Schizosaccharomyces pombe: one gene and its partners. The protein of the gene in region 1 interacts with the protein of each later gene in a pairwise test. Each region holds a gene or a part of one and is shown in the gene's direction. Other genes may lie near its edges.

Region 1 (7,985 bases):
ATAAGATTCAAGGTAAACTTTTTCCCCAACACTGTTGATACGCCTTTAATGATCAACAACAAGATTACTTTGATTATCAAGTACAAAGTACAATGGAATATATTTTCAATCCAACAACTGCGTTCAAAACCAAAACCTGCCTTTCCAATATTTGAATTTTGTTATTCTTTAGTAGGGACCGGTTCATAAAACCGTTCGGGCCATTTCTTTTCCGACACTCAATTACTTTGGGATGAGTTAAACAGATTTAAAAATTTCAAAGATTTTCCGGCCCTTTCAGTTGTTAGTTGAAATGCTAAAATAGAATGTCCAAGGGACTATCAAAGAAATCTCGGACCCCGAACTATACTTATTTTATTCTTTTTTTTTTTTGAGTTAATATTAGCCGATGAACCGTTGAACGTGACTTGTTTTAGTAGAGCCGTAGCAGTGTCGATTGTTTCGTTGGCCACCACCAAACCATTCATTTTTGCATCTATTATCCGTCATTATCAGGGATGAAGTAAGAAATAAGTTAGTAACCATACGATCCATGCTTAGATATTAATTAAATAACGAATATACATTAAAAATTTAATAAATAAATAAGCGGAAAGGCTCGGAATGAGGCTGGTTACAATGCACACGTGCATGTTGCAAATACATCGCACTTAATCGGATTAAGGTAGACGAGAGAGGATATCAGGTAACCAGCAATTGGAACAAGTATGAAAAGAAAGTAATTTAGATTGGCAACAGTATGTCGAGAAGTAAAATGATTGATGGGTTCGCAAATGAACCTAAATCAACAGTATCCAGTATGTGGAGAGGAACCAGGTGACTCACTCTTCTTCTCCATTGCTCTGCCATATAAACTTTAATGCTGCAGAATTCTTGTGTAGGTACGTTTTGCAGGTAGACGGGTTCGGTTGCTCTTGAAGTGCAGTCCAACTATTTTCGCCCCTGTCGCAAAAAGAGATGAGAAATATCATTATATTGTGTGGGAAAATTGAGACAGCCAAGAAAAACATTCAATATGACCTGGGCAAACGTGACATACCAGCAAAAAAGATATTTTTTGACTATTTTTTCTTGCGCACTTATTAACGTTTCGTCTGCAATATTTGTTATTATACGTCAGGAGGAAGACTTTTCAAATCTGTAATTGCGATTCTCACACTCTCACTTAAACGTGTCTTTTTCCAGCCGCGAACACTCGCTACCAAATTTGTGGCTTGCGCTCTCAATTCCTCCTCGGACCATTTTGGCATTTGCTTGACAATGCCTTTCCAATCAATGGCATTTATGGAGATTGCTTCTCCGCATTGCCTTTGTACATGTTCTAGTAGTTTTAAACTATCCGCGACGTAAAATTTGCGTTTACCCTTTGATTTCTTCTTTTTTCTCTTCTTCCTTTTCTTCCCTTGATCCTCCTCTTGACGTTGGTTAGAAGAATAAGATGCGATTGTTTTTTCGTACTGTTTTCGACAGCTTTCCGGCGACTTAGTCCCAAGCTTCTTCGATATGCTATGCCATGCAATGGAATCAGATGCCGGTATTTCCCGTTGTATGTTTGAAGTAGTGTGATTATTGTGTGTGAAAAGGCTTGTCATTTTTTTTGTGTGAAAAGACGACCGGTAAGAAGACTTTACCAAGTCTAATAGCTTTGCTTCCTCTTCATTCGTCCATAATTTGCGCCGATCAATTGTTTCCTGAGTACTAGTACCTACAACAAACCTCCATTGACTCATGCACGCGGCAGGTGACGTTCCCAGTTTGTTCGCTATGCTGTTCCACCGCGTTCCCTCTTGTTCAACTAGGGTGTACAGCTTTTTTAGCTCACTTTCCTCCCATGCATTCCTATCTTTCGGATCCAACGGCTTGTAGATTTCCTTCAAATAACGAATAATTCCTTTTCTTGAAATAGAAGTAGGCAGCAATTCGCGTAGTTCGTTGTATAGAAAGTTGATATTTGTATGTCTTAAGCTTGAAGAACTCATCCGGAAGCCAAACTCTTGTAAATCTACGCCTTCATTATTACAATAAGACAAAACTACTTTTTGAATCACTTGTGCGTCTTCTAGAGAAAAATTAAGTTGCGAATCCTCTTCAGCAGCCAAGCTTCCAATGTCTATCTTTTCGTAACCGGCGACTTGAAAAAAAGCACGCATGTACTTTAGTAAACTATTTTCTTTTCGATTCAGAAAAGATGCTACTGACTCTAAAAACCCTTGAAGTCGACTCCCAGCATGTTCGTCTTCCAATATCTCGATCATTTGCTCCCGTGATATAGACCGAATCGTTAACAATTCATCAATCCTTGCTTGAAACCACTTTTCATGCTCCTCTGTCCATGCATCCTTTCTTTTCTTTGCATTGAAAGAGTTTGTGCTTTCAACTTTGCTTTCAGAATCGTCAGAAGAGGATCGCGCAATTTTACGCTTTGATGCATGATCACTACATGTTTTGACAACGACAGAGGAAAGTGGACTATTTTCCAATAACTGTCGTGTAGCTTCCATACAATCTTTATGGTCATCTGACACAGGCTCACTAGTTCCTCCTAAGGAGTGAGCACGTGAAGGCTTATGTATAAGTGACCCCATTTCAAACTCAAACTCATTATCTTCATCAAATTCGTAAACATCTTTTCTTTTCATAGATTTCATTAAACTTCCAGGCCGAGATTTATTATTAGTGATATTGAAGGTATTGTGATCTGTAAACATAACGTCTCTTTCTTGCATTGCACCCTTACTGCTACATGAAAGTGTAGGACTTTCCAAATTTGAGCGTGTTCCCTGGTTTTCATTTATTGTCATGTCGATAGCTAACATCATTAATTTACAATGCCTTCTAATAACGGGTTAGCCAATTCATGATGAAGTAAGGACGCCAAGGGAAATTTATGAATGTTTAACTATTTTTGTTTGAGAGTTTCAACGGATTTATCTATTTTTTTTCATGCTTTTTAAACTTTCATAAGATTATTATTACGAGAACATAAAATTAAACAACCATCATACGGTTTCTGTTCAACCTCTTCAAGAACCCATTCAAATATCCTTGCATAACCAATTGTTTCTGCTTACCTTGTAAATTAATTATTTCGATTTAGATAGTCTTAAAATATTGCATTTCTTTGCCTTTAATTTCTGTCGTGGTAGATGGAAGGTTTGTAAGTTAGTGTAAACAAAGAATATGCGCGACGCGTCGCGCACTTAAAATGTGTGTTACTTTTTTGATTTCATGTCACTCATCGTTTCTTTATTCTGTCTAAAGATTCGTATCTATGAAGTTTCTGGGGCAATACATTAACAAAGAAACTTTCTTTGTTATTGTAAGTTATAAATGTTGACTAGTCCAACCACACTACTTAACAATTACCAACAGCTTTTCAACAGTTTTGGAAGGGCAATTGAGAAATTGCTAGAGACGGTTTTGAAGGACGCTTTTGCAATTCCCTCAAGGCATCTTTGCTTGGCAATATTTGAAGCATCATTTTTTTATTGAATAACCATTGTGGGCCTTTAATCTCAATTGCGAAGATACATTTGTCTGGTTTTTTGAAATTCTTCCCTTTTACGATTTTTGTATATTTTCTATTTCTTTTGTTATTCCTATATTTTATAAGCTTGCAACCTAATATTTGTATTATTGTTGCTAGCGCCTGTTTTTGAAGTGCTGCCGAACGTCCTTCTTTCGCATTATTTAATTTAATACTAAACTAATTTGATAAAGGGATTTCTAATACATCCTTGTCTATTTCTGTCTTTGGCTGGCAAACCGACTTTTTTCAATATTGTCGGATTTAAAGCACAAAGGATTGCATAACATAATTTATTACAAAGAACGTTGTAATTCTTTTTAATTCTATTTATCTATTCATATCGCTTCATTTCTTTCAAGTTTTTCAATTTGTAGTCTAATGGCGAGCGCTACTTCCACGCCTACTATTGCGGATGGGAATTCCAACAAGGAGTCAGTAGCTACAAGTCGAAGCCCACACACGCATGATCTAAACTTTGAGCTACCAGAGGAATACGAAATGATCAATCTCATCGGTCAAGGTGCTTATGGAGTTGTATGTGCCGCGCTTCACAAACCCAGCGGCCTAAAGGTGGCTGTTAAAAAAATACATCCTTTCAATCATCCTGTGTTTTGTCTAAGAACTTTAAGGGAAATCAAGTTACTCAGACATTTTCGTCATGAAAATATAATTTCAATTCTAGACATCCTTCCACCACCGAGCTACCAGGAATTGGAAGATGTTTATATTGTACAAGAGCTTATGGAAACGGATTTGTACCGTGTTATACGTTCGCAGCCCTTAAGCGATGATCATTGTCAATACTTTACGTATCAAATTTTGCGCGCTCTGAAAGCCATGCATAGTGCTGGAGTTGTTCATAGAGACCTGAAGCCATCAAACTTACTACTAAATGCCAATTGTGATCTCAAAGTTGCCGATTTCGGTTTGGCACGTTCCACCACAGCTCAAGGCGGAAATCCTGGCTTTATGACTGAGTATGTCGCAACTCGTTGGTATCGAGCACCGGAAATTATGCTGAGTTTCCGAGAATACAGCAAAGCTATTGATTTATGGAGTACTGGTTGTATACTTGCTGAGATGCTTTCTGCTCGACCATTGTTCCCAGGAAAGGACTATCATAGTCAAATTACTTTAATCCTTAACATTCTAGGAACGCCTACTATGGACGATTTTTCAAGAATTAAATCTGCACGTGCGAGGAAATATATTAAAAGTCTTCCATTTACTCCTAAAGTATCATTCAAAGCACTCTTTCCTCAGGCATCACCAGATGCTATTGACCTTTTAGAAAAATTACTGACATTTAATCCTGATAAGCGTATAACTGCAGAAGAGGCTCTAAAGCACCCGTATGTAGCTGCTTATCATGATGCCAGTGATGAGCCTACAGCATCCCCCATGCCTCCCAACCTCGTCGATTTATACTGTAACAAAGAAGATCTCGAAATACCGGTATTGAAGGCCTTAATATTTCGTGAAGTAAATTTCAGATAAAAAGCTTCAACTAGAATTCTCCTCATCAAAGGCAACTATGCTGGATGCCAAGCTCTCTGGATTAGGTGCTGGAGATACAACGTTCGGTTGAGTTCCCAGCTTCTTTAGATAATCTCCAGTAGTAGGTCCAATGGTTGCGATCTTTAATTCAAATGTGTTTAATAAAGAGCAAATGGATGTCGGACTGAATGCGACAATCCAATCAATTGTAGGATGTTTTCTAATCGTATCCTTTATTTGGGTTTCTGTATTTTCTAATTCTTGCGTAGCATATACGATTAATGAATCTACTCTGTCGTCCCCCAGTTTTCTTTGAATTATATCCCTATGCTTTTCCCCTACAAGGAAAAGTAAGGGCTTATGTTGTTTAGTCGTAGTATACCACTCTTCAATTAAATCTGCCAAAACCTCACCCCTTCCACAGTCCTTTCCATGTGTTTGCTGAAAACCGAGACGTCGAATACTATCATCAGTCGCCGGACCTACTGTAAATATTGGTGTTTCCATCAATATTTTCTGCCTCTCCGTTTCATCTTCTTGTTTTAATGCTTCATCCAGAGTTTCGCTAACTCGTTGACTGGTAACGATTAAACCACAATAAGTTTTACGAACGTTTTTTAATTTATCTCTAAGCTGTTCTTCGTGAACCCTTTTGTGTCTCAGCACAGGAATGAAGGCTGTATCTCTTCCATATTTTTCAAAGGCCTCCACATATGGATCGAAAGGCTGTGATTTGGTTTTCAATAGCAAAGCAGTTTTCATGCTTTGTCTTTACAATTTGAGAAATGTAAAAAAATAATTACAGTGTCATCTAGTTCCTCAACCTATTCTACGCTTATTCTGACCAGTGAGCAGTAGCACAATTTGGCAGATGGAACAAACATGCATCTTTCCACATCGCTAATCAAATCATTAACTTAACTCAAATTTCGTAAAAAATAAATACCGTCATCGGTTGACAAATTTTTTAAAAAATGAAATGCTTCTGGAAAAACGGTAAACGATAGTTTAAAAGTATCTGATCAACATTCATCATTATGCTTAAGACGCTACATTCTACTCCGAAGTATAGGGTTGATCTATCATTACAAAAATTTCGTTTATTGATGGTAGGAACTAACGCAAAAGGGAGTTAGAGTGTGTAATTGCTTTACTGAATAATAATCAAGGCAGAAATCATTTAATATCTCTTTTAATTTCTTTCTATCAGCTACGATTGTAAGATACGAAAAAACTGTTACAGAAGTATACAGTTGATCAGATTTATGCAAAAAATCAATTGAAGAATGTATAATTTGTAAAGATGCGTATGTATATAGGTTCTAAATAAAAAGACTATGGAAAGAGAATGTATATGATTGTTTTAATCGATATTAGTCATTGATAATGAAATATTAAACAGCTTTATCTTGACTTGAATATATGAGCTTTTGACATGAAAGTTTCAAGTGCGGTAAGTAGAAATGAGTGCAAAAGAGAAATGAAGTAAAGTGCAGTGTGAAAACATATACATAAATAAACCAAGATGAGATTAATCGTAAAAAGAGGCGTTAAGAAAATCATAAAAAAAGCGGAACGTGAAAAAACGTAAAAACAAAAAACAAGTACAGATGAATACAGTTGCCATAATGTAATATAACAAGGTGAGAAAGGTCATATCTTCTCAAAACAATAATAGTTGAGGCGCATAATTTAATACTTTGTTGTTGAGGATTTGCTAGAAAAGGATGAACTAGGGGTAAGGACTTTGCTTTTTTCCAGTATCGTCTTACGAATCTTCTTGGTTCTTGAAGTAACCAAAAGAATAATAGAATCCGTGATACCTGTTAATGTCACAAGTCCCATAGAACACCATAAAAAGATCATAGCCTTTTTGCCTAGAGATGCAGTAACTCGATTTTGTGTTCCATTTCCAACAGCCATCACAAAAGAGGAGACAGCAACGTGAGCAAACAAAGCAGTTACTAGTATACTAAAAAAGGAGAAAAAAGAAAGGCTTATACGAATGTTTCTCAGGAATTCCAAACGCCCTATTAAGGGAAGGCTGGAAACAACACCCATAAGAAATGAAACACCGCATACGCAAAATGAAAAGACAATCATCCAAGGGTGAACTTCATTGATTAGAAATTTAGACCTTACATCCGTTAAGCTAATGGAAGTCAACCCAGGACAACCAGTAAATTGAGGTTTGCAGATCAGCGTCGCATTAGCAGAAAGTACACACATGTTAAAATACCCAACGTTAATTTGGGCTACGTTAGTTGCAAGAGAAAACAACTGGAATTTCGAGGTGGTACTAGATTGGCAACCTGTCATTACTAGTGCAAGTAAAATCCATGCAGCTAATGTGCAAAGAGTTCCAGTTCCTTGTACAACTGAATGAAGAAACAGCATGGTGATTAAATGTAGATGTTTGTTTGTCCTTGATACAAAAACTCTTTTCGTCAACTGGTTTTTTTGAATGAATAGGTTGAATGTTTTTTAAAAAAAGGTAAATTATTTGACGTTCGTGAAAGCCTTCAGTAAGCAAAAATATAGGCAAATCCTGAAGTAAAATTAAGGAGATTTAATCACAACAGAATTATCTCAAATGGCTTTTTGCGATGCTATGAAGGGAAGTAGCTTGAAAAGACGAACAAGGAAGATCCAAGCCAGGTTTTAAAGTAAACAAAAAAATTATTAATGACATAATATATTTCTAAGCTTTCTTTCAAAAATCTGCTTTTTTCATTGTCTTCGTGTTTTCTTTGTTCCCGAGAACAAAGAGTTCGTCAATGGTCATTCGACTCTATGAGGAATACGCAGCGGGCATATCTTTGAGAAAAAAAAGTTTCCATAGCAAAAGCCCCAAGGTATGATGTTTCTTGTCGCAAGGAACAAAAAAATATTTAGATCCCACTGGTAGCGTATGACTCAATTGCGATTTTAAAAAGGGCTCGGGCAGTATTTGTAACAA
Region 2 (7,658 bases), 1.7 Mb from region 1:
GTTGTAGATAAACAAAAGCTTTTTCGAACTTATAGATGTGAACCATCAGGACGCTGTTGTCCACTGTATTTTCCATATCCACTAACCACCACGTTCTTTTGAAAGTTTATTGCGTTGAAGTAAAATACTTTTGTTTGCTTTTTTAAAATGTCAAATTTTCAATATTGTATAGAATGCAATAATATGCTGTACGGATTAGTTTCTCAAAAAGATGACACTGAAAATTGTTTGAAAACACTAACATGAAATAAATAGGTACCCTAGAGAGGATAAAGTGGATCGTGTTCTGAGGCTAGCTTGTCGTAATTGTGATTACTCAGAGGTAAGCTTGTTTTTTTCTCCTACTGGGTTTATTCACTTCAAGAAAAAAATTCGAAGTTCTTTTCGATTACTTTTTTCCTCATCATTTGGAAGTTTTAAATATCTCATCAGCTAATTTGTATAGATCGCTGCTACTAGTAAAGTTTATCGCCATGAGTTACAAAGCTCCAATGTGTAAGTTAGATTTCATCCTTCGAATAATCACTAAATTTGTAGAGAAAACACGACGGTCAGTCACGACGCTTCAACGGACCCTACTTTACCTAGATCAGACAAAGAATGCCCGCGTTGTCATCAACATGAAGCAGTTTTTTATCAGACTCATTCTCGTCGGGGTGATACTATGATGGTGTGTTTCGCATTGTTTCATTGAGAAAACAATTTTAATATTTAGGTTTAAAAACAATTTTACTGACTTAATTAGACTCTGATTTATGTTTGCGTACATTGTGGATTTGCTTTTGAAGAACAGTAATATGCGACAATTCGGTCTAACAAGGGATTGTAAAACTAGCTGCGTCCACCAATGGCTCTTAGACTTCGGTTTAAATGATCCGCTTGATGTAACCACTCTCTCGCTTCTGTGCTGGAAAACTGGATTTTCGAGTGATACCAGCCACCTTTGCCGAAAATGGATTTACCAGCCTCTCAATCATATGCTCGCCTCCTTCCTTTATATTAAGCAACGCGCCTACCAAAACACTTGAATTTCTTTATTTCACATTCGGTGTACCTTCTGGAATATACTGAAACTGTTTCAGTTATTTGTATACAATAATCCATACGGAATAGCCTTGTAATCCGAATACCAATTAAATAAAAACCCTTAATTCTTTGTGCCTTTATTTTTTTTTATATTCTAATTTCAGCAGAGCTGTTAAATTCCAAGGCTTTCCATAATGTTGATGACTGCTTCTCAACAGGATCAGCATGCTAAAATGTATTTAGCTGACATCCATAGAGCATTGAGAATTCCTTCTCCCATCCCAAGTACTGATTACGAATGTTCTGACTATGCCTCTACAATCGCATCGATATCTCGAGAAAGTACAATGAGAAATTTTAATCGCAGTAACATCTCGTCTACGGCCCCTTCTTTTGCTGAATCTGAGGATGCTGAAGATGGCGATAGTTTCCCTTATGATCAAACGTTATCAAATTCTTCCAGTTTTGATGATCATCAGTCTCTTCTTCCTTTTTCTACAGAAGTTCGTAGGACCCCAACTTACTCTGTCATGAATGAAACGGATAGTAGTAGTACAAGTGTTGAAGACGTAAACAAAGAGAACATACTGTCATTGAACGATTCATGTTTGATCAAATTATCTGATGATGAGGCTTCAAATAAAAGCAGTCGTAGCTCGACTCCACGCAACTCGATAAAGAGTAATTCATCTAACCAGGGCCATGGCGACATACCAATTCCTAAAAAAAATCCTGCTCGTTCCGTTTGTAATTCAAAGCTTTTTAACGAGGACACATTGCCAGCTGAATTTGAAGAAGTTTCAATTTCACCACCTGTCAAACTTGAGTTACCTACTCACTCTCATAATTCATCTGACACTAGTTTTACGAACAGTATAGTTAGCAGTGTTAGTGACATGGTTGGTCTTGGCGAAGGTATAAACAGTATTGCATCTTTTGGTTTCTCTGAAGATTCGTCCTCGTTCCAAGATATAAAGACACCTCCTCGCTTATCATTCGCAGATGAGAACCGAGAGAATTGTAGGACTGATATCTACCGTTCAGATTCTATTCATGAATACGAAGAGCCACTTACGAGCTCCATCACCTCTTTAGATTCCCCTCATGTTCTTGACGAAAATGCTCCGATACCGCTTCTTCCAAAAGTGGTTTCTTTACCAGATCCTCGCTTTACAAATGTTCTTTCAGCCTTTGACGCTTTGACTAGGACATATTTGCTACGACAGAATTCTAAAGTTGTACATGCCACTAGTCAGAAACAAGAAATGCAAACTTCGCGGCGCGTTGTCAATTCTTGTTATATGCCAGAATCGTTATCGCGAAATTTGTCCAGTAGTTTGCAACAAACCGGCGGGAGTGGAAGATTGTTTGTCCGTCTTATGGAAATCAGAAACTTAACTATTCCTTTGGCATCGGGGATGACCACTAGGTTCACTTATACAATCTCTGGTAAGCACATTCAAGTACCATGGAACGCCTTACACTCTACTACTAAAATTGAAAATGAGTATACTTTTGATGAAAGTATTAGTTCTTCAATTGTATGTACGCTCCGTGCGGCTTACGATCCACCTAAGGTTCGCACTCGTTCTACACTTGGAAAAGTATTTTCAACAAATAAGAGAAAGTCTATGACTACCGACCCCGTTTCAGAAGCACTTCATGGATTTGTTTCTGAAGATGGAACTTTCGGCGAAGTTACCATTAACACTGATTCTGTAAGCCGAACCGCACTAGGCCGTTGTCAATCTATGGTTCTACCAATCATGAACAAATGGACTGTTGATCCGGCAGCTAAAGATGTCAAGCCTCTCCCTCGAAAAGTAGGAGAACTCGAAATCCACGTATTTTTCTTACCAGCGCTTCCTGTCTCTCTGAAAGAACTTCCCGCTTCAATCGAGTCTGCCATGTATGACTTAAAGCTTGCTGAATGGGATAGAACTTTATTGTGTGATGGTTATCTATGTCAACAAGGTGGGGATTGCCCTTATTGGCGTCGTCGCTATTTTCAATTAATAGGATCAAAGTTAGTAGCTTTTCAACAATTCTCTAAAGTTCGCAGAGCAACGATTGATTTGTCTGAAGCCACACATATCGTGGATGACAACCATTATAGTGATGAAGAAGAACTAGAAGGGTATCTGTATTTCGAATCGGGTTTCCGTATCATTTTCAGTAATGGGGACTACATCGATTTTTACGCTGAAACCGTCGGCGAAAAAGATGAGTGGATGTCTACACTTCGTCAGCATTTGGGGCAATGTTCAATGGTTCACAAAAATTGGACCAAATCATTTCTTTCGCTGAGTTTTTAAATTGACCATTTGCTTCGACCTCACTTTTTCTATTTAAATCACATTTGGTCTTTATCTTCTCCTTTATCTATATCGTCTTGCATTTTTCATTGGTTTTGTTGTTTCCCTCGCATAATACATAATGTTCATTTTATCTACCATCGAGAAGCTAGATTCGGTTGAAATGAGCTCGTTTTATATAAGCTGTTAAAAATCGGATAGCAATTACTTACTACTCCCCATGTATATTTATACTTCAGTTGCAAAATACTTCATTTTTGAAAGTTTCCCTTGATCCGAAGAAACGTTGTCAAAATAAGTTGTCTCAAAACGTTTATCTTGGCTTTGTAAATAAATCAAATTCCTTAAAATACTCTAGCTTGGCGTTGTCGAGTGAATTTATTAAGTCGTAAGCTTGCCATTTGAGAAACTTCAAAAAATAAAAATTCCACAATAATTTAATTACATTATTCTGTAAATAATTAATACCGTAATTGCTATATAGTTCAAATACCATTTTTAGCTGTTTCGCAATATCTAAAACGTATATGAGATCACTTTTTTTCATTGTCTAGCGTTTTTGTACTTCAGTTAATAACTGTTTGAATTAATAGTTTCGTTCATATTTTGCTGTCTTTTGAAATTTGGTGGTACTTTACGGTGTTACCCCCAACACTTAATTAAATGCTTAGCGGGGGATACATAGCAACTGAAATAAAGCACGCGGCGTCCGTCACCAACGTTTCACATAATTGAGTTTACAAATTTTCTATATTAAGGTGCCATAAAAAGTATGGTCGCTAAGTATTCAAACTTCGTTGAAATTAAATATTTTATAAAGTCTGTAAATGCGATATAATAAGGACTCAGAATGGAATTAACAAGAGAGAAAGTGTAAGGATACTATTTTTTTTCCTATGAAACTTATACAAACTAATACGTTTATTTTACAGTCTTTTGTTAACATTTTTGCGAATGCAATATTCTCATATACTTCCTGACTCAATCGAAAATCGAGTTATATCTACTGAGGCCCCGGAATGGGAATTGGACAAATCATTGCAAGACTTGTTGATTCATGATTATGATTATTCTAAAACTTCGTTTTCTTCAAGTCCCCCGATTGTCGCTAATGACACTGTATCCAATGTCCGAAAGCCGAGTGATACTAAACAAGTAAATGGTGCTGGGGGTCAAGTTAATCATTCTCGAGCTGAAGATTCTGATTATGCTACTTCTGACTTATCCGAATCTTCAGATGTGGGTGATGACGATAACTCGTGTATATTTTCTTTTAGCAAAGTCCCAATGCAGAAGGATGTTGCAAGTATAAAAGAAGAGGAAAGACTGGACCCCAAAATTTCCACATTAAATAATATTGATGCTATCGCAAATCTTAAGCTTACCAACATGGTAGAATCCTCGCAGGCAGTGAATTTAACCTCGTCCAAACAGTCTTCCATAAACCAGCAAAGCAGTGTTTCTACGGATTATGATGATCTACGGTCGATTTCTGAGGAATCATTTCATTTAAGTCAAGGAGAAATTCCTCTTACTTTTCCAATGAATTCTTCCTTAACTGACACTGAAGCTGATGCAGTTGTTGCGGTTGATGCTCTTTTTCCTGGTAAGCAACGCGGAACACACAATACAGTCAATAAAGCAAGATCTGTTTCGAACGCAAAGGCTCCTACATCTGCTCTTCGTGCATTACTTGAACATAAAGAAAACAGTAGCCAGAATGGGCCATTGGCTGAAAATTTTGCTACTTTTTCTGGACATGCAGAATCAAATGCCCTCCGTTTAAACATTTATTTTCCTTCGAGCGAAAGTCCTTCAAAGCCCTTATTTGTAGAACTCCGAAAGAATGTTTTGGTCTCTGAGGCTATCGGTTATATTTTACTTCAATACGTTAACCAGCAACTCGTGCCCCCAATAGAAGATGAGGCTCAAAATCCGAATTATTGGAATTTACGTATTGTTGAAGATGACGGGGAGCTAGATGAAGATTTTCCCGCTTTGGACCGTGTAGGTCCATTATCAAAATTTGGTTTTGACGCATTTGCTTTAGTTAAAGCCACTCCTGCCCAAATAAAGGAAAATCAAGCTGCCTACCCGTTTAAATCGAAGCATCCAACATCAATTCCTGAAGCCAATAACAAAACGCATATTCGGCATACTAGTTCAACTTCAAGTCAATCACAAAAGCAAGCTCAGGATGTCAAAGATACACTTAATACTTCTCATGTCGTACAGGTACGACTTCCCCCATACGGGGATAATGCTCGATTTTGCAATATTGAAATATCAAAAACTACTAGATTGGCTATGGTGTTGAACCAGGTGTGTTGGATGAAGCAATTGGAGCGATTTAAGTATACTCTGCGAGTTGCTGGATCTGATACTGTTTTACCACTTGATAAAACATTTAGTTCACTAGACGGAAATCCAACTCTAGAACTTGTTAAAAAGAAGGTACGCGATAAAAAAGGAAGTACCCAACAATTGCCAACCTCCTCACCACAAAATTCCGTTTATGGATCTATTAAGAAAGATGCACAATCTTCAACATACAATGCAACAGATATTATGTCGAGCAATACCTATCAAGAATTTCTTGTATGGAAACGACAACCTGTTTCATTTATGGGAAGACATGAGCGTCTACTAGCTATTGATGGAGAATACGTTCACATAATGCCGTCTGAATCCAAAAATATATTTGAAACGCCTAAGACGTCCAGTATACATGCTGGATCGATTATTTTATGCAAGCAGTCTAAAAAATCACCATGTAATTTTAAAATGATTGTGTCCAAGAATAGGGAAACTAAGCGGTAAGAAATTTTTTAACGCTAATAAGCTAACGAGTTCAGGTATGATTTTGAAGTTTTGTCCGCCTTGGAAGCTGCCATTATAGTTAGCAGGATACGTGCACTGATGAATACTGTTAAAAAAATAAATTAACATTTATTTATTACAAAAAGATTCTATGAATACATAGGTATAAACACCTTTGTTTTTTGGTATCACATTGCTCTCTCCCCTATGTCATTTTTATTAAACATCTTCAAAATCAGCTTCATCTTCATCGTCTTCATCGTCCTCATTAAATCCATTAATAATAACATTCTTTTTACTTTCTTGCATTTCCGTATCACCATCAGTAATACCATTTGTAGAAACAATAGGTGGTAATGAATTGTTTTCTTCTATCGATTTTGTTCTTTTATTTTGGATATCACTATCTGAATTTAGGTTCTCGGTTTTACGCTTGACCGACCCATAATCAGTACTTTTGTTTTGAAGAGAGGTAGCCGTCGTAACGTCTAAGAAGTCATCATCCTCCTCATCATCTACGTTTTCACTGTCCATAAACTCGCTTTCCTCTTTTTGCTTTGCACGAAGTGTTGCGTAATAAGCATCTAAGGCGCTCTTTTCAGAAGTAATATCTGTTTTAGTGTCTTGAACCTCATTAACAGTTTCAGTTCTAAAACTATGAAGTGCGGCATCTTTAGCTCCAGCACGAGTAATGGAGCCAGAAATTGTTGATGTTGCATGCCATTCGGGAAGAATGTTTTGAGCAGCTTTGACTTGCTTGTCGCAATTCCTTTCACGCTTTTCATCAGTCTCTTTATCAGCAGAGAAATCAACTGTAATAGATGGCGAAGAGGTGGAAAGACGGACGTCTGAATTACTTTTTGACAAGTTTTGTTGCGACAAATTTTGGGTGTCTAACGAAACAGGAACCGCATGTTCTAAAGCAGATTGGAAATTGTTTTGTGGTACGACAATTTCATCCACCCTTTTCAATGCATCGATTATACCATTAACTTGTCCCATCAGTTTTCCTAGCCTTTTCTGACTAGACATCATTTCTGCACTCTCCTCATCGTCTTTGAGTTCGGTTCCACAAACGTTACAAGCAAAAGTTCCCTCGTTGGTCACCAAAGACAAAACGTCAAGGCTAGAAAACTTTTTGTTGCAAAATGGACAAACATAGCCTTTAGAATCGAAATCCTGCTAAGTTAGTGAAAGTGACGATAATAAGAGATTCGTAAAAGTAGTGGGTAAAACACTAAGCAAAAAGAAGGAAACAATATGGTAAACCTTTTATGAAAAAAGGCCCAATTAAAAAAGGAACTTACATTTCGCATTCGATCTTCTACTGTTTTCACTAATTGGTGCATACGCCATTTAATGCTGTCAATCGTAGAACAGAAATCGATATAGAAATAGGTTGTATGATATTGCCTTTGTTGGCCTTCCTTCATTTCCGTCCTACTTTGACTGAAAGGTTAGCAGCTGGTCATGGAATTGCCTTCACGTACATTGCCA
Region 3 (6,791 bases), 2.4 Mb from region 1:
ACTAGGAGCAAAAATGCTTTATGTCTCTTGGAAACAACATACCAAAAAATAGCAACCGTACAAGCAAATGGCATTTGGTATTGTAAGGGCATTAGCCAAAAGTTCACAGTTTGAAAGAAGGGCCAGACCATATAATTAGCCTTTAAATGTTAGCAACAATACAACAGAACCATTTAAGAAAGAAAATTTAGAAATTAAGTGTACCTTTAAAGTGGGCCAGAAAACAGCTTGAAGTTTATCGTAGGCGCCCCTGAAACCTTTGCCCTCAGCAAGAGTCTGCGGTTTAGTGTTAGTATTGATATACATAAACATGCAAGTTAATTTTTACTTACCATCCAACTGAAAAAAAAGGCAGTACCGAATGGAGCAAAAACAGCTTGATCCAATAACACACGCTTCACGACATTAATAGCGCCTTTCTCTATTGGGAACTTAGCAGATAGCAAACGCAACCACCGAAATTGAAATGGAGAAATAGCAAAACCAAAAGTAACAAATTGAAGAACCCTTTTAATACTAGGTATTTCAGGATGAGTGTTTAATCTCACGCCATCCAAACCAATCATCGCATTTTTGTTTGTTTGGTATATGGTCAAGCCTTGGGCGACAGCATCGGATATTCCACCCAGTGTACCAGCAGTTAGACACATAGTCATAATCGGCGCCTTTTCAAAAAGAGCGTTATAGCGGGTTGCAAAACGACTAAACATAATGGATAATGAGGGACAAAAAACTCAATCAAAAGCAATTCAAAATCTAACGACCCAATGCTAGTATAAATAATAAATTTTATTTTCAAATTTCCTTTTTAGGATCAAAACTTCTAGTTTCTTTTAGTTTATATCACAAATTGATGTAAACTATGGAATTGCGAGAAGTGTTGGTAGAAAGCAGATTCGTAAACGTAATAGTGAAGTATATAAATGTTCGGTCAACGCTTTATGTTTTCCCTGGTTTAGATTTTAATAGTTGCGAAAAATCAATTTTTTTTATTTATAAAATTGTCAAGGTTCAGTGTTGCTCTACACTCACACTGTAGCACTTATGAAATTGTAACAGAATCATCCACACCTTCTGCAGTCATCTATTTATACTAATATTATCTCACTGTGAGATCTATAGCATCACTGTACATCTACAATTGAAAATTCGTTTATTGAAGAAGCGGGCCCGTGGGTGAAATTGTAGTCAAACTAGTTCTCTGCTTCAAGAATTTTTTGTAGCAAAAAAACAGCATTATACAACAAAAATTGACGTCCGTTGTCTCTTGAAGCAGGAAACAAGCTCCCAAATGAACAAAGAAGACGAAACAAGACAATCATAGCAGATCAATAGTCTTAGCGCCCAAAACATTTCCCACGCCCGAATTTGAAATTTTTAGGATTCTTATTGGAATTAAACAGTAATAAACGAACTTACTTAAACTGCATCGTTGTGAATAAGTCTATATTTTTTACTAGAAGACACTACATGCCTAAACTAAAAGTACAAAACAACGTGTGGAAGCTACCATAAACGAAAATTCAGACAAGCTAATCGTATAAGCAAGACTAATGTTTATATAATTTATTAATGAAGATTTATAAATATGCTAATACTTTTCTATTAAAGGTTAGCATACGTTTCAAATAAAAAAGTTCTGTGCAATAGCAATGTTCAGATAAATAAAAACTTCGCGTACTCGTCAATGTAAATACTCCGAGTGAGCTGGGTTTAACGAAGAAAATCATCATGGTAAAAGGCTTGCTTTTATTTGCAACTTAGGATTCGACATACCATCAATATTAACCTATTTATATTCAGACAATGAATGACTAAATCTTATGGTGTTGGTGGAGTTTACGAGGGCGCCGCCTATTTATACTAGTAAATGGGATATTAGGTTGTTAAAAGATATAACGAATAAAAAATTCAAATTACTAATCCAATCAGTAAATGTGACTGTTAAATTCGTAAACAAAAAAAGCAAGGCCATGGAAAATAAGTGACTGGTGGTCATTATTAGTTCATGGTCTTTTTAGTTGCTTTAGATAATTAATATGGGCAAAGATGCCATCATAAACAACAGCCACAAAAGGAGATAGTATTTCTCTAGTTTACCTTCCTACTCAAAAGCTTATCCACACTCATAAATACTAATGCAATAAGTATCAATATATGTGATACGATGAGTAATATGTAAATATAGCATTGCTAATTAAAAACTAAGACAATAAATGAAAAATATTTTATATTAATATGCCCTGACCCAAAATAGTTTTTTCTAAAAACGAACGTAATCGAGTATTCCTTCATAAGTTATATTAATCAAATTTAATTTTTTGGCCAGCTGGCTCAACAATAGCAGCGGAGGATCGCTGAGCCTTCGCTAATGCTGCACCGGGACGGACAGAACGCGGGTCAATCTTCCTAGCTCTCTTGAAGTTTGGTTTGTCCTCTTGACCTAAAGATTCAGCATCATTAAATCGACCAGAGCGAGCCATTGGGGACTTGTTCCTCATCCTTTTAGACCGATCTTCTCCGTATTCTAACCGCCAACTATTATGGCCAAGTTCCATAGCTTTCATACATGTGTCAATGTCTGGAAAATCAACAAATCCAAAGCCTTTACATTTGCCCGTATCCTCAAAGGTCATCAAGCGAACACGTCGAATTTGGCCAACTTGACCAAAGTGCTCCTTTAAGTCGGCATCAGTGGTTTCAAAATCCAAGTTGCCAACGAAAAGGATCGAGGAAGGCTCCTTCTTAGATGATTGTATAGATGCAGTTTTGGAAAGAGTGTTTGCTGGCTTGCTTGGTCTCCCAGAAAAATCTGTATTCGACTTGATCAAGATGTTTCTACCATTGAGAGCCTTTTCGGAACATTGAAGAGCTAGCTTAAGCGCATCTTCAGTAGCAAAGTCAACATATGCAAAACCTTTGTTTTGGAATCTTTTTTCTTTCGACATGGGCATGTGTATACGAGTAATTTGTTCGGTTGTAATGGGTTTAATATTTTCTTCAGATACTTCCTTTATCATTTCACTTGTCTCCCGAACAAAAAAGTCTGTTAAAATTTCCTTCGTTGTATGAAAACTTAAATTACCCACCCAAATACCCCATGGTGATCTTTTGCTCTCTTCTTGTGATTCACCTTCCTCTTTCCTACCATATTTAGCATCCAGCCGTTTCAATCTCTTCTCTTCTTTCTTTTTAGCTTCTTCAAGAGCTTCAGGTGTCCAATTTCCGTCTTTGTCAATTTTACCAGCCTTTCTAAGCTTTCGCATCAACTTCTTAGAAGGGGGAACGGGTTTTGTTACATCAATTTCGAGAACTTCATTTTCACCCTCCTTTTCTGACTCATGCTTTTTTCTTTTTTTGTCAGGTTGACCTTCCTTATTATTTAAGGAGTCCATTTTTTGAATTGGTTCCATTAGCAAGCAATTTCCAAAAGCTAAAAATTTTCTTTTTCTCAAAACTTAGTTTAAATAATGGAGAAGACTTATACAAATCTCAATCTGTTAGGTCTCCAAATTTGTAAGAATATTGTTAATAAAATGGATAAGGATGCAAAATCTATATAGGTAAGAGGCTTTACTAGCGATTCACATACCTCCATAATATGATTTAAAATTGATATTATAAACATCATATACTCATTTATTTTATATTATAATATATTGCAATAGTTACGATGATGCCAAAGATTAAACAATTTACTCCCGAATACACTTGCGTGCTGCTTGCGGTATGGTGATTTATTTCAATATGCAATTTTGCTTAGATTTATTATGTTTGATGTTTACAAAATGAAATAAAGGAAGGTCATTAGACCGTGCTTAAAAAAATGACTGCAGAAGCTACCAACGCCATAATACATGCGAAAAATCTCTTTCAAAGCTTCTCTTCACATTAAAATCGGTCCTGATTTTTTTTTTTACTCGTATACAATTCACATTTTTTTAATACCTTTGACTGTACAATATAGCGAGCTCGAAAGATATGGGGTCCTATTGTATGTCACTATTAAATGTTTATGTGCTTCGTTGCATCCGTACCTATTGGTAATAGAAAAAGAAACACAAAATTTGCAAAAAACAACTTTGAGTTAAATTTGTTGAGTTCAAATCATTTTTCAAAGTTTACTTCTTTATATTTTCAAAATGAGCAACGAAAAAATGGATACGTCTCCTCCTTCTTACGATTCTCATTTTACTTTGGAAACGTCAATGCACCGTCAATTAAAAGATAAAAGGATTATTTTGGCTTCAGGATCCCCTCGCAGAAAGCAGTTATTTGAACAGATGGTAAGAAAAATAAAAAATGGAGACAATTTTTTGAATCATGTAATCTACCCAAGCAATTGCTTCCTAAAAAAAGTATCAATTGCTGTCGTTATTATATTTTCCATGAAGCATTGCCCGTAAAAATTGTGTTGTATCTTAATAAATTATTCTTATTTATGATTCTCTGTTTTGTGTTACTTAGAAGTTTTGGAGTTCGTCTCTTAATTTCATTCGTTTGGTCGTGTTCGTAAACTAATGTTGATTTAAAATAGGGATTTCCTAATGTTGAAACCTGCGTTTCCGGATTCCCCGAAGATTTAAATAAATCTATGTACATAACTCCTTGGGAATATGCTGCTGACACTTCGGTACAGAAAGCGATTGCAGTTTATGAGAAACTGGTATGGATGTTTAATTTAAATTTTTCTTTACAGAGAGTTTCACACTGAAGTCTCTAAAGTTGTCTTGTTTTTCTATATTAACGCATTTTTTCTACTTAGGCCGCCGAAGAAGATTCACCAGACATAGTTGTATCCGCCGATACTATATTGATTTTGGATTCTGAGATTATGGAGAAGCCCAACGATCCCAAGCATCACCTTGCCATGCTGAAAAAGCTCAGAAATTCTAAAACACCCCATAAAGTATTTACTGCTGTCAGTGTTATTGTGCCTATGGAAGTGCCTATTCATCCAGGTTATGTTATGAAAACACACCTTGAAGAAACTCAGGTGAAGTTTGACCCTTCCATAACTGACGAATTTCTCGAAGCTTATGTTCGTTGTGGCGAAGGTTCAGATAAAGCCGGAGGCTATGCTATACAGGTATGTTTTTGGCTGTTTTTAGGGTGATGGAAGTGCCTGAACCGTGCGTGCTTTCAAATAATGAATTATAGCATTTTTTGTTTTTTTTAAATTTTTACGCATGACTTTGCTGACTAAGTTTAGGGTCACGGCGCCTTATTGATTGAGTCTATCATAGGTGACTTTTCCAATGTTGTAGGCTTGCCTATCCGCGCTACTTTCAAGTTGATGGAAGAAGCCTTAGAACAAGGAGATGCTGATAATTACGATTAAGAATCTTCTAAGAAATTAAGTTCATGACAATTGCGTTTCATTTTCCCAGGCACCTTCATCTTTGCCTCATACACTTCAATGTTTTTGTTTAAATTCCTTTACATATTAACTACGCGTCTCTTCTTTTGACCATTTGAAATGATCATCATTTGAACAATCATGGGTTGCTATTGTCTATAGTAATGCAAATAGGTTTTACATTTTCTAGCTTATCTTCATTTCGCATATACAGGCAGTACCGTTTCGCCGGTAATTGTTAGAATATAATCAATTCAGGCGTATATAAGTATCATAGACCTAATTTACAGATATGGACAAGTTGAAGTTCTTTAAACGTAAAAATCTTCAACACAAGAATATCTATCTGCACCGTATTTACAGAACCAGCAAAACCTTAGAGTCATGAAAGAACCTGTATTCGATCGTTTTGTTAATGCATTAAAATTATACTGAGGGATGAAGGCAGTTTCGGAGATATACACTCTGGCAGAAGCAATATCTTAATTGGCGGCAACACCCTTCTTTTTTAACTCTGCTTGTAATTGAACAGAAAAATCATCGTCTCCAATGTCCTCATCGTCCCAATTGTTTTCCCATAGCGTATCATCTCCAGTATCAAGCTCTGTATCTTTCATAGGCCAATCTTTTTGATGTTAAATAATTATTTCTTTAAAAGTACTTACTTTCTGTTGCGAAATCTTCAAACTCATCATCATCCTCAAGGTCTAAGCATTATGTTAGTAAACGTCTTTAGGCCAACGAAAAAATCATAGACATTAGCATATCGAATAAATAGTACTCGAAAGCCACTCTAAATAATTTGTAACGTACTTTCTAAGCTTGGTAAGGCCGCACGAGACATTCTAATTTATAAACGTGATTTGGTGTGAAAGGTGAACCCTGCCGTACTGTGATGTTTGAATGAACTTTTCACTGGTAACGATGTCTACTGAGTTACACTATTATATTTACAAACTGCATAAAGTTGCAGACTAATAAATAGCAGTTTGCCATTGATATTTCAATTAAAAACAAATTGTATTACTGGATTATTCTTATCTATGCTGACTCTATGTTCTGAATACCGGAGGATTTCCTAAAGTCAAGATTTGAAATGCAGGGTTTATTAACATTATAATTAAAGGTACAATAAGAAACGATTTTTAGACTAGAATTTAGTGATCTTTGAAATGTAGCAATCAAAATTGAAGACTGTAAAAGATAAACATATTCGAGCTTCAAACCTAAAATATTCCGGATGAAAAATGAAGAAACAAATTGGCTTTTGTATGACAGGCTAAAATCTACTTCATCTTTTCATACATGCTGATCAAGCTGGTATATTTAACCTCCTCCTTCGGCCAAAAGTAACATGCAAACATCCATAAATTCTTCCTAACAGTAGCTTTTTCTTCGGAGGGTGTATCATTGACAGTTTTTTCAATATGCT

The links. Proteins that work in one complex are often made in the same cells at the same time.
Region 2: the proteins of spk1 (region 1) and sin1 interact in a two-hybrid assay, tested with the Schizosaccharomyces pombe proteins (one large-scale study listed by BioGRID).
Region 3: the proteins of spk1 (region 1) and ifs1 interact in a two-hybrid assay, tested with the Schizosaccharomyces pombe proteins (one large-scale study listed by BioGRID).

Annotation. Positions count from the first base shown.
Region 1 is NC_003424.3:2,996,891-3,004,875, reverse strand, and holds spk1 (MAP kinase Spk1), read left to right. Parts: upstream 1-3,357; 5' UTR 3,358-3,907; coding exon 3,908-5,026; 3' UTR 5,027-5,032; downstream 5,033-7,985. Other genes in the region: RNA polymerase I termination factor, Myb family Eta2, read right to left, coding at 1,110-2,819; hem4 (uroporphyrinogen-III synthase Ups), read right to left, coding at 5,033-5,788; tetraspan protein, claudin Dni1, read right to left, coding at 6,719-7,423; rrg8 (protein Rgg8), read right to left, coding at 7,818-7,985. UniProt on the Schizosaccharomyces pombe protein: Involved in mating signal transduction pathway.
Region 2 is NC_003424.3:4,744,822-4,752,479, reverse strand, and holds sin1 (MAP kinase-interacting protein Sin1), read left to right. Parts: upstream 1-4,052; 5' UTR 4,053-4,191; coding exon 4,192-4,214; intron 4,215-4,257; exon of another isoform or gene 4,258-4,273; coding exon 4,274-6,157; exon of another isoform or gene 6,158-6,196; coding exon 6,197-6,287; 3' UTR 6,288-6,380; downstream 6,381-7,658. Other genes in the region: DNA-directed RNA polymerase II complex TFIIS subunit Rpb9, read left to right, coding at 148-188, 256-322, 446-495, 538-670, 746-796; mid2 (septin ring organizing protein), read left to right, coding at 1,221-3,341; transcription factor TFIIE subunit Tfa1, read right to left, coding at 6,381-7,340, 7,469-7,610, 7,652-7,658. UniProt on the Schizosaccharomyces pombe protein: Component of the mechanistic target of rapamycin complex 2 (mTORC2), which regulates multiple cellular processes to control cell growth in response to environmental signals.
Region 3 is NC_003424.3:5,382,505-5,389,295, reverse strand, and holds ifs1 (Maf-like protein Ifs1), read left to right. Parts: upstream 1-4,035; 5' UTR 4,036-4,142; coding exon 4,143-4,286; exon of another isoform or gene 4,287-4,537; coding exon 4,538-4,666; exon of another isoform or gene 4,667-4,765; coding exon 4,766-5,089; exon of another isoform or gene 5,090-5,212; coding exon 5,213-5,341; 3' UTR 5,342-5,591; downstream 5,592-6,791. Other genes in the region: SPOM_SPAC3G6.05 (Mpv17/PMP22 family protein 1), read right to left, coding at 43-140, 205-276, 333-710; RNA-binding protein Rnp24, read right to left, coding at 2,304-3,413; proteasome receptor/ubiquitin ligase adaptor Dss1, read right to left, coding at 5,842-5,984, 6,025-6,066, 6,173-6,203; CHD family chromatin remodeller Hrp3, read right to left, coding at 6,646-6,791.